Linked DNA regions of Arabidopsis thaliana. The protein of the gene in region 1 interacts with the protein of each later gene in a pairwise test. Each region holds a gene or a part of one and is shown on either strand. Other genes may lie near its edges.

The links.
Region 2: the proteins of WOL (region 1) and AT5G59613 interact in a two-hybrid assay, tested with the Arabidopsis thaliana proteins (one large-scale study listed by BioGRID).
Region 3: the proteins of WOL (region 1) and AT3G11070 interact in a two-hybrid assay, tested with the Arabidopsis thaliana proteins (one large-scale study listed by BioGRID).

The regions. Positions count from the first base shown.
Region 1 is NC_003071.7:362,445-370,324, reverse strand, and holds WOL (CHASE domain containing histidine kinase protein), read left to right. Parts: upstream 1-1,967; 5' UTR 1,968-2,308; coding exon 2,309-2,370; exon of another isoform or gene 2,371-2,888; coding exon 2,889-3,438; intron 3,439-3,618; coding exon 3,619-3,855; intron 3,856-3,948; coding exon 3,949-4,118; intron 4,119-4,293; coding exon 4,294-4,512; intron 4,513-4,593; coding exon 4,594-4,832; intron 4,833-4,925; coding exon 4,926-5,155; intron 5,156-5,233; coding exon 5,234-5,332; intron 5,333-5,415; coding exon 5,416-6,620; intron 6,621-6,761; coding exon 6,762-6,993; 3' UTR 6,994-7,342; downstream 7,343-7,880. UniProt on the Arabidopsis thaliana protein: Cytokinins (CK) receptor related to bacterial two-component regulators. Also binds the synthetic urea-type cytokinin thidiazuron, a potent defoliant and herbicide. Functions as a histidine kinase and transmits the stress signal to a downstream MAPK cascade.
Region 2 is NC_003076.8:24,014,848-24,018,470, forward strand, and holds AT5G59613 (ATP synthase), read right to left. Parts: upstream 1,764-3,623; 5' UTR 1,654-1,763; coding exon 1,533-1,653; intron 1,362-1,532; coding exon 1,319-1,361; coding exon of another isoform or gene 1,315-1,318; exon of another isoform or gene 883-1,314; coding exon 879-882; 3' UTR 547-878; downstream 1-546. Other genes in the region: AT5G59610 (Chaperone DnaJ-domain superfamily protein), read left to right, coding at 1-107; AT5G59616 (Interleukin-1 receptor-associated kinase 4 protein), read left to right, coding at 2,664-2,976, 3,082-3,230. UniProt on the Arabidopsis thaliana protein: Mitochondrial membrane ATP synthase (F(1)F(0) ATP synthase or Complex V) produces ATP from ADP in the presence of a proton gradient across the membrane which is generated by electron transport complexes of the respiratory chain.
Region 3 is NC_003074.8:3,465,970-3,470,779, forward strand, and holds AT3G11070 (Outer membrane OMP85 family protein), read left to right. Parts: upstream 1-1,734; 5' UTR 1,735-1,831; coding exon 1,832-2,341; intron 2,342-2,474; coding exon 2,475-2,960; intron 2,961-3,178; coding exon 3,179-3,661; intron 3,662-3,762; coding exon 3,763-3,846; 3' UTR 3,847-4,264; downstream 4,265-4,810. Other genes in the region: AT3G11060 (uncharacterized protein), read right to left, coding at 334-975; RLP35 (receptor like protein 35), read left to right, coding at 4,512-4,810.

The DNA of each region.
Region 1 (7,880 bases):
AAATTTTAATATATATATATATTAAAAAATAAAATAAAAGAACAAAAAAGAAAATAAAATAAATTCTTTTTCCTTTATAATATAAAGTACAAGTCCCTTGCCCAATAAAATTATGCCACATAAGATTTGTTTATAATTTAAAGAATTATTTAAAATTTTTTAAAAAAAAAACGCTCATTTTTTTTTTCTACATATTTAAAAACAAAAAAATATTCCTAGATTTTCTCACACACCACACCATCATTATCTTTGGAAATTTGTAACCAACTCAAGATTTTCCAAACCGTTTTATCTTCCTCTACAAAAATCCAATTCACGTTAAATCTATCTCTTGCTCTTGCTTCCTCCAAAAAAAAAAAAAAATCATTCCCAGATCCATCGATATGAAATTGTATAGAAAAAATGGTATTCGATCCAAGTTTATTGTCTTCTATTTTTCTTAGGTTAATTTCACTTTATTCCAGATTCATTGTTTGTTTTTTCTTTCTCGGAAGAGCACAATGTGAGTTTCACTGGCCTCTGTTATAAACATATATAGAAATCTGTAACAAAAATCATTACTAAAATTCTGTGACATGTGCAGCGATCAAAGAATCAATAGCGGAAAAAGAAACTACACTGCATTCATCTATGACTGAAAGCTTCTGATCAAGCCATGAAATTAAGGTATCCCAAACACGTATCTTCTCTATGTTTATCAATCTTGCTTTAAGTTCTAATTCTGCATATTTCAAAGGAACCATACAAGTGTTCCTAAAATCCATTTGAATATTCAAAAACTTCTCTCAAATATCATGTAGTTATAGAAGCTACTGTCTCTAAGCGCACGAGAGAAAGCTACACAACCCACGTCAGTTTCCATCTACACATATAAGGTAATAATAATATTTTCATGTATCTTTAATAATAGCTCTATGTTTTTTTCTGTATTTTTCATTATAAAACTCATAACTATGTTATCATTTAATATGGTACTAATTTAATGGGATTGATTTACTATTGCCTCAAACATGTAATAATTTAATGATTTTTTGTTTTTAACGTTTTTAGAAATTCATGAGCATTTTAAATTTGTGGTTAGGTCATAACAATTTGCTATTACAAAAAAAAGAAACACTCTAAATAATATAAAAAATAGTTTACCGTATAATACTAGTAGTAAATAAATAATTTGATTGTTATTCATAAATTTTGAATTCTAAAATCTCCTGAATCAACTCATGCAATTGTCTTAAGAATTACACGTGGATAAATCATGGGCTTATGAGTCAGGCCCATTTAACCGGGGTATTTTCGTAGTTAAGAGACTAGAATGGTGGGTATTTCAGGTAAAAGGTCTATGGGGCCAGATCTGCGCTTTGTCGCGATGTCATTATCGCCAAAGATATGCGATAGCGACTCTCGTACAAAGTCTCTCACTCACCTATATTTTTTGTTTTCTTATATTTCAACAAAAAAACGTTTTATTTTCCTTTTGGTGTAAGTAAAAAAACAAAACAAAACGTTTTATTTCTAAAGTTCAGAAAACTTATTTATACCAAGGAAAAAATAGATAATAAATTTTGAGAAGTTGGTGACTATATATTACTTCACTTATTCAAGAAATTTAAACATGGTAAATGTTACTTTAAATGTTAAATGATGTATAAGAAATGTAATGAAATTGAATAAATGTAGTTTTAAAGATGTTTTAATTAGTAAGACAAACCTAGTTAGTGTCACAATAATTATATTTTTTTTTTTGTCATCCAAAATTATTAAAGCTCAAGTAAACCAATCCTGAGGGATATTATTTACAAATGTGATATGATGCGGTTCGGTGCGGATCTTCCGCGCCAAATTATACGCTTTTATATTAGCATTATAAAAAATTATAGATAAAGAGAAGTTTGTGAATTCTTCATTGTCGCTTTGCAATTTCTCTAAATACACAGTAAATACCGACAATTCGGTTAGAGAAAATATATCTATTTCGTATAATAATGTTAACTTTGAGGAGATTTTGGGTAAAATAATAACTTTTGTTGGATGGATCATATCATGAGCCATTAAGAAAAAGTCCAAAACTTTTCTTCTTCAAAGTTGGACTCAAGTTAGAAAAAGAAAAAAGAGCTAGAGAGATATAAAAATGAAAAGAAAGTTCATGGCAAAAAACTGATATAGACAGAGACACAGAGAGAGAGAAACGTATCTGAAGAAAATCTAAAAAATTCGATTCAATTTTTTTCTTACTTTTAAAAGCAAAAAATCTCACTAAAACAAAAGAAGAAGAAAGAAGAAAGAAAATGGAATACCTACATTTGAAGTGATGAGAAGAGATTTTGTGTATAATAATAATGCAATGTTCAATCCTCTCACAACTCATTACAGGTAACTAAAATAATTTCTCCATGTGCTTGCTTATTAGTCGTTCTTCCTAATGTTATGTTTCTCTCTGTGTTCTTTCTTTCTTTGGTCAAAGCTTTAATTTTTTTTCTATTGTTGGATTTGAGACAGTGAACATAGCTATGTTCTTGTTCCAATAATAAACAATCACGCCTGTAAAGAGCTTATGATTGATTAGTGTGTTTTTTAGTATTAATTAATTTCTCTGACAATAATTACTTAGTTTTTAATTCTTCTCTGTAAGAAACCTTTGGAAACTGAGCAAAGTTGCTTCTTTTGAGAACCATGCGTTTCTTTCTCTCTTTTGTTCTTGAATTCGCAAAAACATGTCCTTTTTCGTCTACAGGTTTCTAGGGTTTGTTTCTGTACTATAAACTATGTTTATGGTAACATTCTTAATCATAACTACACTACCAATGCTTTTATGTTATATGTATGCAAAAAAGGCTCTAACTTTTGTTTTCTTTCACTATTGTTTCTTCTTTTGTTCTCTATTGTTGTAGCTCAGATATGAACTGGGCACTCAACAATCATCAAGAAGAAGAAGAAGAGCCACGAAGAATTGAAATTTCTGATTCCGAGTCACTAGAAAACTTGAAAAGCAGCGATTTTTATCAACTGGGTGGTGGTGGTGCTCTGAATTCGTCAGAAAAGCCGAGAAAGATCGATTTTTGGCGTTCGGGGTTGATGGGTTTTGCGAAGATGCAGCAGCAGCAACAGCTTCAGCATTCAGTGGCGGTGAAGATGAACAATAATAATAATAACGATCTAATGGGTAATAAAAAAGGGTCAACTTTCATACAAGAACATCGAGCATTGTTACCAAAAGCTTTGATTCTGTGGATCATCATTGTTGGGTTTATAAGCAGTGGGATTTATCAGTGGATGGATGATGCTAATAAGATTAGAAGGGAAGAGGTTTTGGTCAGCATGTGTGATCAAAGAGCTAGAATGTTGCAGGATCAATTTAGTGTTAGTGTTAATCATGTTCATGCTTTGGCTATTCTCGTCTCCACTTTTCATTACCACAAGAACCCTTCTGCAATTGATCAGGTCAGTGTGTGCTTTATTAAAAGCTCAAAGCTTTGGTGAAATTTTTGATTCATAAATGCAAAGTTGACTTTTTTTGGAACCAGAAGTTTTTGAAATTTACTCTTTTATGTTTGGTTATTGAGTAAATGAAGGGAAATTTAGGCCTTTGCTTTACTCATTGGTTTGTGGCTAATTTTGCAGGAGACATTTGCGGAGTACACGGCAAGAACAGCATTTGAGAGACCGTTGCTAAGTGGAGTGGCTTATGCTGAAAAAGTTGTGAATTTTGAGAGGGAGATGTTTGAGCGGCAGCACAATTGGGTTATAAAGACAATGGATAGAGGAGAGCCTTCACCGGTTAGGGATGAGTATGCTCCTGTTATATTCTCTCAAGATAGTGTCTCTTACCTTGAGTCACTCGATATGATGTCAGGCGAGGTAATATAAACATTATCAGACACTTATGGTTTTGTTTTTTCGGTTAAGTATCCGACCTGCACCTCTTCTGAATTTTGGCTATCTTTTCTGCAGGAGGATCGTGAGAATATTTTGCGAGCTAGAGAAACCGGAAAAGCTGTCTTGACTAGCCCTTTTAGGTTGTTGGAAACTCACCATCTCGGAGTTGTGTTGACATTCCCTGTCTACAAGTCTTCTCTTCCTGAAAATCCGACTGTCGAAGAGCGTATTGCAGCCACTGCAGGGTAAAGTTCCCATCTGATTACTGGAGCAAACTTTTGCTTGTGATCATGTAAAAAGAGATTTTCGAGATTTCATGATTGGTTTATGTGTGTGATCATGTAAAGGAAAGAGGTTTTTTGAGATTTCAAGATTGGTTTGTGTGTAAAGTAAAGATTGATGCTTGAATTTGAAATGCAGGTACCTTGGTGGTGCGTTTGATGTGGAGTCTCTAGTCGAGAATTTACTTGGTCAGCTTGCTGGTAACCAAGCAATAGTTGTGCATGTGTATGATATCACCAATGCATCAGATCCACTTGTCATGTATGGTAATCAAGATGAAGAAGCCGACAGATCTCTCTCTCATGAGAGCAAGCTCGATTTTGGAGACCCCTTCAGGAAACATAAGATGATATGCAGGTACCACACAGAAAATCTTAAAGCTAAAATACTCTCTGATATCTAAAAACTGATATCTTGTTTGAACAATTTCGAGTGCAGGTACCACCAAAAGGCACCAATACCGTTGAATGTGCTCACAACTGTGCCATTGTTCTTTGCGATTGGTTTCTTGGTGGGTTATATACTGTATGGTGCAGCTATGCACATAGTAAAAGTCGAAGATGATTTCCATGAAATGCAAGAGCTTAAAGTTCGAGCAGAAGCTGCTGATGTCGCTAAATCGCAGTTTCTTGCTACCGTGTCTCACGAGATCAGGACACCAATGAATGGCATTCTCGGTACTACATCTTCAAACAAATTCCAGTACTGTTGCCTTTCATCTTTGGTTTCTCAAACTGCCTCAAAGATTCTGTTTTAAAAATTTTCTGCAGGAATGCTTGCTATGCTCCTAGATACAGAACTAAGCTCGACACAGAGAGATTACGCTCAAACCGCTCAAGTATGTGGTAAAGCTTTGATTGCATTGATAAATGAGGTTCTTGATCGCGCCAAGATTGAAGCTGGAAAGCTGGAGTTGGAATCAGTACCATTTGATATCCGTTCAATATTGGATGATGTCCTTTCTCTATTCTCTGAGGAGTCAAGGAACAAAAGCATTGAGGTAAGTTTTCAATCCAAGGAATAAAGATACATCTATTTGGAGTTGTGGCTGCTAATTTCTTGATTTCAAATTTGGCAGCTCGCGGTTTTCGTTTCAGACAAAGTACCAGAGATAGTCAAAGGAGATTCAGGGAGATTTAGACAGATAATCATAAACCTTGTTGGAAATTCGGTTAAAGTTAGTCCCTATTTCAATCTCTGCCTTTGTTGGCAGCTTGTGTATATGATTTTTGTTTGATCAAGATGTTGTCTTTTTGACAGTTCACAGAGAAAGGACATATCTTTGTTAAAGTCCATCTTGCGGAACAATCAAAAGATGAATCTGAACCGAAAAATGCATTGAATGGTGGAGTGTCTGAAGAAATGATCGTTGTTTCCAAACAGTCAAGTTACAACACATTGAGCGGTTACGAAGCTGCTGATGGTCGGAATAGCTGGGATTCATTCAAGCATTTGGTCTCTGAGGAGCAGTCATTATCGGAGTTTGATATTTCTAGCAATGTTAGGCTTATGGTTTCAATCGAAGACACGGGTATTGGAATCCCTTTAGTTGCGCAAGGCCGTGTGTTTATGCCGTTTATGCAAGCAGATAGCTCGACTTCAAGAAACTATGGAGGTACTGGTATTGGTTTGAGTATAAGCAAGTGTCTTGTTGAACTTATGCGTGGTCAGATAAATTTCATAAGCCGGCCTCATATTGGAAGCACGTTCTGGTTCACGGCTGTTTTAGAGAAATGCGATAAATGCAGTGCGATTAACCATATGAAGAAACCTAATGTGGAACACTTGCCTTCTACTTTTAAAGGAATGAAAGCTATAGTTGTTGATGCTAAGCCTGTTAGAGCTGCTGTGACTAGATACCATATGAAAAGACTCGGAATCAATGTTGATGTCGTGACAAGTCTCAAAACCGCTGTTGTTGCAGCTGCTGCGTTTGAAAGAAACGGTTCTCCTCTCCCAACAAAACCGCAACTTGATATGATCTTAGTAGAGAAAGATTCATGGATTTCAACTGAAGATAATGACTCAGAGATTCGTTTATTGAATTCAAGAACCAACGGAAACGTTCATCACAAGTCTCCGAAACTAGCTCTATTCGCAACAAACATCACAAATTCGGAGTTCGACAGAGCTAAATCCGCAGGATTTGCAGATACGGTAATAATGAAACCGTTAAGAGCAAGCATGATTGGGGCGTGTCTGCAACAAGTTCTCGAGCTGAGAAAAACAAGACAACAACATCCAGAAGGATCATCACCCGCAACTCTCAAGAGCTTGCTTACAGGGAAGAAGATTCTTGTGGTTGATGATAATATAGTTAACAGGAGAGTAGCTGCAGGAGCTCTCAAGAAATTTGGAGCAGAAGTGGTTTGTGCAGAGAGTGGTCAAGTTGCTTTGGGTTTGCTTCAGATTCCACACACTTTCGATGCTTGCTTCATGGATATTCAAATGCCACAGATGGACGGGTAACTAAATCACAACTAATACTATTTTTGGATTATTCGGTTTTTGAATTGTTCGGTATGAAAAATTTCCCGCCAAATTATAACTGACTTGGTTTGGTTCGGATTCGGTTAAAATCTTTTATAAACTTCATTGATTCTCAGATTTGAAGCAACTCGTCAGATAAGAATGATGGAGAAGGAAACTAAAGAGAAGACAAATCTCGAATGGCATTTACCGATTCTAGCGATGACTGCGGATGTGATACACGCGACCTACGAGGAATGTCTGAAAAGTGGGATGGATGGTTACGTCTCCAAACCTTTTGAAGAAGAGAATCTCTATAAATCCGTTGCCAAATCATTCAAACCTAATCCTATCTCACCTTCGTCGTAATCCAATCTTCCGGCGAGTTTTTTTTCTCTCTCCGCAGCCGGAAGAGTGGACCGATTCTGCTGATTGATATGCATTTTGGTTTCTGTACATACAGTAGGTTCACAATCTAGAGATTTTGAAGGTTTTTTTTTCTTTCACCGAAGTAATGTAGCTTGCCATGACTAGTGTATGTTGTTAAACGACAACGTCTAAGACGACGGTTCAGTGTTGATCTTAGCGTAAGTATTAATCCCACGGGATCGTTTGTACTGTATCAGATTTGGTTAGTCGTTTAAACATTGTAATGTTCTAATAATAACTTTTCCATATATAACATCTTCTTATAACTTGAGACGAGACCATTTTGATTCATCTTTTGAGCTTGTTTAGCAACCAAATCGGTTAGCTAGTTGAACGAAGATCAGAGAAAGAGCTCAAACAACTCTTCATTAGCTATAGCTCAGTCGACGACTTGAGCTTTCAAACAACAGAAACAGAGCAAAGCTTAAAAACGACTGCGTTTTACTATTGGTTCGTCGATCTCACTAAACCGAGTGAGATAACCAAAGCCAATCAACAACCCTTTAATCGGATCTCTCGATGTAATCTATAAAGGATGAGAAGAATTAGGAACTTGTCCAAGAAGAGTATATAGAAAATATCTGACTTTTTGTTTGTTTTTTATATACTCTATCGACTTATTTTATCAGTTTCAGTAGGAACGCAACGAAATACTACAGAATGAATTTCTCCCGATTTAGGTAGAATTGGATCACCACACTGTTAGGTTCTAATTTGAAATGCCTTCCGACTAATACCAAGGATAATCATACCGTCTGCATTTCTAACTACCAAATAAATTAATTGGACCAAATCACAACTGAGAGACTTTCTAAACAAATTTGTTA
Region 2 (3,623 bases), on another chromosome or scaffold:
AATCTTCCGGGAAGAATAATAGTAGCACAAAGAATAGTATAGAAGACAATATTGATGAGATCGAAGCAACTCTTGCTCAATTGAAGAAAGATCTTGGCTTGCAATAATCCCATAAGTTATATTAAAATGTTTTTCTTAGTTGGTTTAATACTCATGAAATAATTATTTTGTACATGTGGTGAGAAATTAATCTTATTCTCAATTATGGTTAATTAAGTTATATAGATAAATTCAATATATTTCTAGATATAAGAGCTTTTCACGTTTACCTAAGGAATAGGAAAACCGACATACTGTAACCCTGTATCTATAAATACAGTTCCCGTCAACAACACTCTTTTACTCAAATCTCAGAGAAAGAAAAACTCAAGCTTGTTCCTTTACTTGTGCATGTTTTAATGAGTAATGGTGATGGATTATATAATCAACTTCGTCTCTGCTATTGCTGAACATTATATTCAAGTTTTCTTATTTTCATTTTGCTAAAGAGTGTCATACTTAAATTATATTTAAACAATAGTTTCTTGATAGTTATTCTATTTTTTTTTGCATCAAAGATTTATATTTAGTAATTTTGCATATTTTAACCAACAATGGATGTTTGATCAGCAAGTGGAGGCTATATACTTAACCATATATTCTTATTGGGGAACAAAAAGAGAAGAAGAAATTCATTGCAAAGGAAAAAAATTGGATAAACAGAGTAGAATTTGCACTGTTCAAGAGTTGTGAAAACACAGAGAAAAGGAAACGAGAGATTGATAGTGTCTATAATCCTCTCTTTCATGTTATTAGAACAGGTTTGAAAGCTGAAGCACTCTCAGTAGTTTCCATAAGAACGCTTCGGCTTCTCAGCTTCGACAACTCACGTCAGTAGATCACCTGAGATTTCACAACAGAACATGAACAAACATAGAGAATGGTAAGTGTGTTGGAATCCTGTGAAATCCTAAATCTATCAAGGATTCAAATCTTGTTATTACAAGAGTCTGATCAAACACACTTAGTTAATCTGAATGATGTTGGAAACTCATGTATGGCTCACAATGCATCAAGCATTACAAAATATATACAGAACCAAACTGGCTCAAGAAACAGATGCAAGACAAATCAAACATTACACATTGAGATTTTGTACAGGCTATTGGAGAAAACCAGATATCAAAATCATGAATTACAATAAAATTCTAAGCCATCTGAATGAAGTAGGTGACTTAATAAGATTCAATTAACAGATGCAGAGAAATCACATACAGATTTGAATTCAGCTTCCAAATCGAAATTTAACATTGATATGATCGAAAGAGAAAGACATTACCGCCTGTGTTGTTGGACAAACTTGGAGTTCTTGGCGTCTTCCTCTGCAAAATGAGTCAATACATTTACTAATTAGGGTTTCACAACCAGCGATCCAACAATCAATACTGAGACACAATACATCAATATATCCGATCCGATTCCACAAATACGGATCAATTGAGGATTAGCTCTTTCATTTCCGATGACGATTGGTCAGATCTGAAGAGACTTACCAGTGAGTCCAGCGGTGAGCTTGGTGATGAGAACGCCGGTAACGGCGAATCCGGTGAGAAACGGCCAACAACGTTTCCATTCTCTCTTGAAGAACACTGGCCATGGATCGAACAACCTCATCTTTCTCTTTTTCTCTTTTTGTTCTCTTTGGTCTTCTCTCTAAACTTTGGTATCTGGATGAGTCGGAGACTGCTTCGCGTAGAGACAGATGAAAGTGACAACAAAACACTGATGGATAGGTAATAGTTACTGGATCCGAATTCTTTCTGGATATTTAATGGGCTATCCAAAACTCAATAAAGGCCCAATAAGTCTTCTAGTTAATTTGTAAAAGGCCACTAATGACCGTTGCGTTTAAAACGCGAATTTCCCGCGACTGCGTTTCAAGCACTCTGGAATTGTTTTTTCTCATGTTAATCCACTTCTATTTGTACGTTTTACCACGGTGCTGCTCTTTGAATTAGCTTCAAGATTGATCTGTCTATAATTTCTTGGTTCGAAGCTATTATTGTGAAAGGAAATTGTCAAAGCTTGTTTCATTAGAGAAAACATGGAAAAATGGACCAATTCAAGTTAGAGACCACTACAAATTCAAATCCGTGTGTATTGCTCTCTCTCTATGAACATTCTTATTGTATTAGCTATAGAATGATAAACTATATAACAGTTGAGATCAATTGAACTGGTCTTTCAAAAACCAAGTTGCCTATATCGTCTGACCAAGAAATTTACATATGTTTCTTAGGATAATGTTAGGCTATTCAAGTTCTTGATTGTGATGTCCGGAGATTATTTTCCTAGTCTTCTTGTGTTTTTCGATAGAAAATACATTTACTCATTTGTTTCAGTCATATACCATTTTTATATTTGCACACTAAAGACCTCTTCTCATGTAACCAGAGCTTTTATTTGCCTTACATGTCCGTTTATGTTTATTTCATACATGCGCTGTTGTTTGTGTCACAAGGTACCGGAATGATGTCTATGATCGTGTATGGACTACGTTTTCAAGGAATGAATGGACCCACATTTCCACCACCCTGGAAGTGAGCAATTCAAACAAATATTTTCCACCAAAAGAAGCACTCAAAACTGCTGCAATATCTACTAATTCAACTGCACCATTGACGATGGAATGGAGTTCGAGTAATGTCAATAACCAATATTACTTGTATGGACATTTTGCTGAGATCCAAGAGTTGCAGACCAACGATACAAGGGAATTTAACATGTTTTGGAATAGACAAGTCATCGCCGACCCTTTAATACCTCCAAAATTCACTATTTATACTATCTTTAGCCAGTCACCAAGTACTTGTGAAGGAGGAAAATGCAGTTTTCAGCTGAGAAGAACCAACAGATCAACTCTTCCACCTTTGCTTAACGCTTTTGAGGTCTACACAGTTATCCAGTTTCCGCAGATCGAAACAAATGAAAACGACGGTATGTTATGCATATAAGGTCTATACTATTGTTTTATGTTTAGAAAGGTAGTCAAATTATTTCTGTGTTAACTCAAGTATCATAAACTAAAACATGTTATGTCAGTGGTTGCTGTCCAAAACATCAAAACCACCTATGAAATTAGTAGAAATAGCTGGCAAGGAGATCCATGTGTCCCTCGGCAGTTTATGTGGGAGGGATTAAACTGCAGTGACACTGATATGTCTACACGACCAAGAATCACTTCTTTGTAAGTCATAAGATCACCCCCACTACAATAAAAACTGAATATTGATACGATTATTATAGTTACAATAAAAAGATATTCGGTCACAATAATTTTTTTGTGTCGAAACTGAAACAAATTTTAAAATGTCACAATAAAATCGTCACAAATCTATGTATGTCTCAAAAAGGTCACAAACGAATGTGACGATTAACAACAGTAACAATTTGTCACTGATTGTGACGACGTTATTATAGTCGCAAAAACGGATACAATTCGTGACGAACGATACTGTCACAACTATGCCACAACTAGTGACAATAAAATCGTAACATACTTGTCACAGATTATTACCATATTTAAGTCACTGGCCCGTTACATTTTACGACCAAAATACAATCACAAATCCGTCACAATTAGT
Region 3 (4,810 bases), on another chromosome or scaffold:
CTTTAATGATTTATAACCCTACGTGGAGTCGAAACTAGAGTCCATGATTATGGGCTAAGGAAGGGTTCAATGTTGATTCTGTCTCTTAAAGATGAGGAGTTGTTATCGACAAGCTGCAAAGGGTACATATTCAAACTCTCACATTTTTTATAGCTCACGTAATCTCAAGTTCTCAACTAAATGGCAAAAAAAAAATAAAAGAGAAGAGAAGTTAACAAAAACTGATTCTTCGAATATCGATGGACTAACAATACCATTAGTACGTACTTAATTATGTAAGCAATTTGACAGGAAAAAAATTGCTCAAATTAATAAGAAAGAATGTATGTGTAATCAGACAAGCGTTTCGGGAGATGCAGTCAAAGTATGCAAGTCCTTCTCCTTCTCCGAGGGGAAATTATACGCAAAGAGCCCAAAGGAAACCAATACATAAAGACTGGTAACGAACAATGCCACTCCGTTATAGTCCTTAGAGTATAAAGCTTCAAAGATGCCAAAAAGACCAAACAACCAACCGAAGAAAAGCGTGATCAAAGCATGTCTCGTCTCCATCCTACACTTTTCCGTTAGCTGAATAAGCCCTATCCCTCCGGTGAACAACGATATGGTGAATAACGATATGTATAACAAAGACAACACGTTCTCCGTAAACACGAGTGAACAAGCTAGCGGCGTTATGAACACTAGGTACAAGGCAAGCTCCGAGAACACAACCTGAGGAATCCTCTTTTTAGGTGTAGTAAACTCCGTGTAGCAAGTGGAGGGAGGATCGGTGAAGAAAAGATATCTGAGTATCGTCACTGCGTAGAATGTTGTGGCACTGACCGCACCGTCTCTTAGGAACCGAGACGAGGAGTCACCAGATGGCAAGAGAAGGTTGAGGGATATGGAGAGGCCAAAGATGGAGAGTAGAGTCATTGCATACCATAATCCTCTGCATACAATCACATCTCTTTTACTCTTCATCTTCTCCATTAAGTATCTCATCTCTCTCTCTCTCTTTTTTAAAAGGCTTTATCTCTCCTCGTGTGATGGGTTTCAGAGACTTAATATAGGGATGGTGAAATAGGTGTAGAACTAGGTATTGAACTGACTAATCTTTATTGATTCACAAAACATGTGTATTTATACAAGAGTCATTGTATGTGATAAGCTCAAACTCCTAAACTATAGGAACTAAAACATATCAAAAGAATATACGACATGTCCCAATAATAGGGTTTTCGACTTCTTGTCTTTGAAGGCTTTTTAGATTTATTATACACATGCTAAAAAGATCTTCACCTCACAACGAAACTTACTAACAAAAATAAAAATATAAATATAAAATAATATTAAGAAACTTCTAGCAAGATGTGGCGTTGTCTCTGATTCTGACTTCTAGCAATATTAAGAAACTAACAAGATCTACAGGCTCACCAAAACATGTTGTTTTATGTCTTCCATAGGTTCCTTTAAGTCCATCTACTCAAAACAAATCCAACACTGCTTTAGCAAAATAGTTTGCACAGACAATGTGACTACTCCATCCAATGTCAATTAACAAAACCACTTAAATCCAACTCATATCTCTTTTGATTACCTAATAGAAATATGTGCGTAGCTCATGTTTTGCTCTTTTGCATGATGTCCCTTTTAGTAATTGCAATATGGCATAGTCAATGAAATTGCTAAAACGACATCGTTCAAGAAGCAAAAGAGCTCATAAACACCCTCTACACTATCTAGAAGGTTACATAGACGCCTGTGGACTTATAGTCGTCAAATTGATTCCTGGATTCGCCGAAAACTCGAAATCGTTGTACTCTCTCAGTTACTATCTCTCTGTCTCATGGCGAATCCGACGGAGAACCTCGACGCGAATCCACAAATCCGAGAACCAGAAGCTGAAGAAGAAGTTGAAGAACTGAACGGATACGAAGGTGACGATGGAGGAGAAGATGACGATGGAGAAGACGATGACACCGAGTCGAAATCTCAAACGCGCGAAAGCGGATCCAGTGTAGACAGAATCAAGGCGGAATCGCTATTCCGTCGGATGCGAGCTGCTCCTGTGCCGGTGCGTGTTCACGACGTGATTATCGGTGGAAACGAGAAGACTAAGGACCATATCATTGAAGCGGAAGTGGATGCTGTGAGAGAGGCGACCACGTTGCAAGAGCTTCTCGAAGCATCTAGGGTTGCCAATTCGAATCTCCGTGCGTTAGATATCTTTGATTCCGTCAACATTACGCTTGATTCTGGTCCTCCTGAGCTTCCTGGTACTACCAATGTGGTAATCGACGTCGTCGAGAGCAAAAGCCCTCTCACCGGCCAAATTGGTGCCTACACTAGAGCAGAGGTATTGCTTTAATAGTAACAATTCACTGCTATGTTTAAATTGTGTTGGTTTATTACGTATTGGTTTCTATAGAGTTGAATTTGTCATCTTCATGAAGCTGTTTTTGTTCTTCAATACTGTGATGCTCTTGTAGGCTAGATCATCAAGCGTTGAAGCATCTTTGAAGTATAAGAACATTTTTGGTTATGGAGATATTTGGGACGGGTCTATAGTTTATGGCTGTGACAACTCTGCTGAGGTTGGTTTGGGGATGTATTTGCCAAGGTTCAGAGGATTGTCTACTCCTTTTACTTCCCGTCTTTTCCTTTCGACTCAAGACTGGCTTAAGTTTTCATCGTATAAAGAACGATCCCTCGGTCTTTCTCTTGGTCTTTTCTCAAGCAAGTATCACGAGCTGATCTACACGATTGCGTGGCGTAATCTGATCGATCCATCACAAGCTGCTGCAGTATCAATAAGGAGACAACTGGGACACAGTCTGCTTTCTGCGTTGAAGTATACTTTTAGGTTTGATCAGAGAAACTCAAGCTTGAGGCCAACTAATGGATATGCTTTCATCTCTACATCTCAAATTGGTGGTCTTGCTCCTGATAGCCGAAGCTTACGCTTCCTGAAGCAGGTTGGTCTCCTCTTCTTTCTTGTTGCCAACATTTAGATGACCTTTATTTTAAGTTTGGAAGGTTGTAAGTTCTTACACAGCAAATTCTGTGGTTTCAGTCCCTTGTTTTCATACATATCTTCCCTAGTATGTCTGAAATTTATGCTCACTGTGAGAGGGAATAACAAGAATCTAAGACATCTGATAGTTTTAGCATCTATTTTCATTTGTTTGGTCAGGAAGTTGATCTTCGGTATGCTGTTCCGTTTGGATTTTACAATGCTGCTATAAATTTTGGTGTGTCTGGGGGTGTCTCCTTTCCGTGGGGAAGCGGATACCAGAACCGTCCTTCATCTATACCAGAGAGATTCTTCTTGGGTGGCAATTCATCGCCTGTGTGCTCCTTGAGTGGGCCATCTGCGCTGTGGGGATTCAAGACCAGAGGAGTTGGTCCCAGTGAGCCAAAGAGGAAAGGTGATAGTGAACGGGATTTTGTTGGAGGAGATGCGGCAGTGACTGCATTTGCGGATCTCTCATTTGATTTGCCAGTGAGATGGTTAAGAGAGAGAGGAATCCACGGTCATGTGTTTGCCTGTGCAGGGAATATGGCGAAGTTATCAGAGAATGAGTTTAGAAACTTCACTGCTCCAAAGTTCTTGGAGACATTCAGAACTTCAGTTGGTGCTGGAATCGTCTTACCAACAAGCCTATTCCGTATGGAGGTTTGGTTCTCATCACTACTCTCCCTTATGCATTTTTATCGAATGAAAGTGCAATGATTAACACCAAAATTATCCATCGTTTTTGTTTTGTTATGAGACAGCTTAACTACTGCCACATATTGAAGAAACAGGAACACGATCAAGCGAGATCAGGGGTTTTCTTGACATTCTCTGCTTCGTCCTGAGAAATTTTTGCTGAAGAATCAAGGTACTCCATATGATATGGCCTTTCATTATTTTCTTTTTCTTAAAGCCGTGTCCCAATGTCTGGTAGAATCTTTGATCTATTGTTGAATCGAGAAAACTTTACATAGAGAGTCGATTCTTTTTGTTATGTTTGCATGGATTTCTCATTTCTGGATCCACGAGGAATGATAATAAAGAGAAAAGAACCACCATTAATTGGTTGAATGATTGATGCATTGATGCGGATGAACCCTTGATTGGATAAATTTAAAACTGTGCTAAGAAAATTTACAGTTTACACTTGCCATCAAAACTTCCTCCTTTTTTGGTTTTACATTTATCCTTTATTCAAGGAACCAATAAGTAGATTACTCTTTATTTTCCATTCTTTTTCATGGATTTCTCAGTTTCTGGACAAGCAACCTTTTCAATTTCTGCACGTATATTTTATAGTACGACAAAAATGTGTGGAAATTGACTATTCAACTTGACTTAGTCTTTTATTCTTTGCGTTTAACAGAATTCCCTAGTATCTTAATATAAGTCTTCTATTATGTGAATTAAACAGATGGGTGCGAATTAAATTATTCTACCTACCATCGAAATCTCTATATTTTCTTTTTCATAATCGATATTCAAGAATGCTAATTAAGCATAGAGAAGGATGACAGGCTCTTGGAATCCAACGAGTATCATCATCCCTGTTACACTTTCCTTTCTCCTCTCATTCATTCACAATTTTGCGGACGTGGTTGCAGCTCCTACTAGGCACTTGTGTCTTCCCGAACAAAGGGATGCACTTCTCGAACTCAAGAACGAGTTTGAGATTGGGAAGCCTTCCTCTAATGATTATTGCTATCGCAATAATAGCCGTGTAAGCCCTCATCCGACGACAGAGTCATGGAGGAATAACAGCGACTGTTGTAATTGGGAGGGTATCACGTGTGATACCAAGTCCGGGGA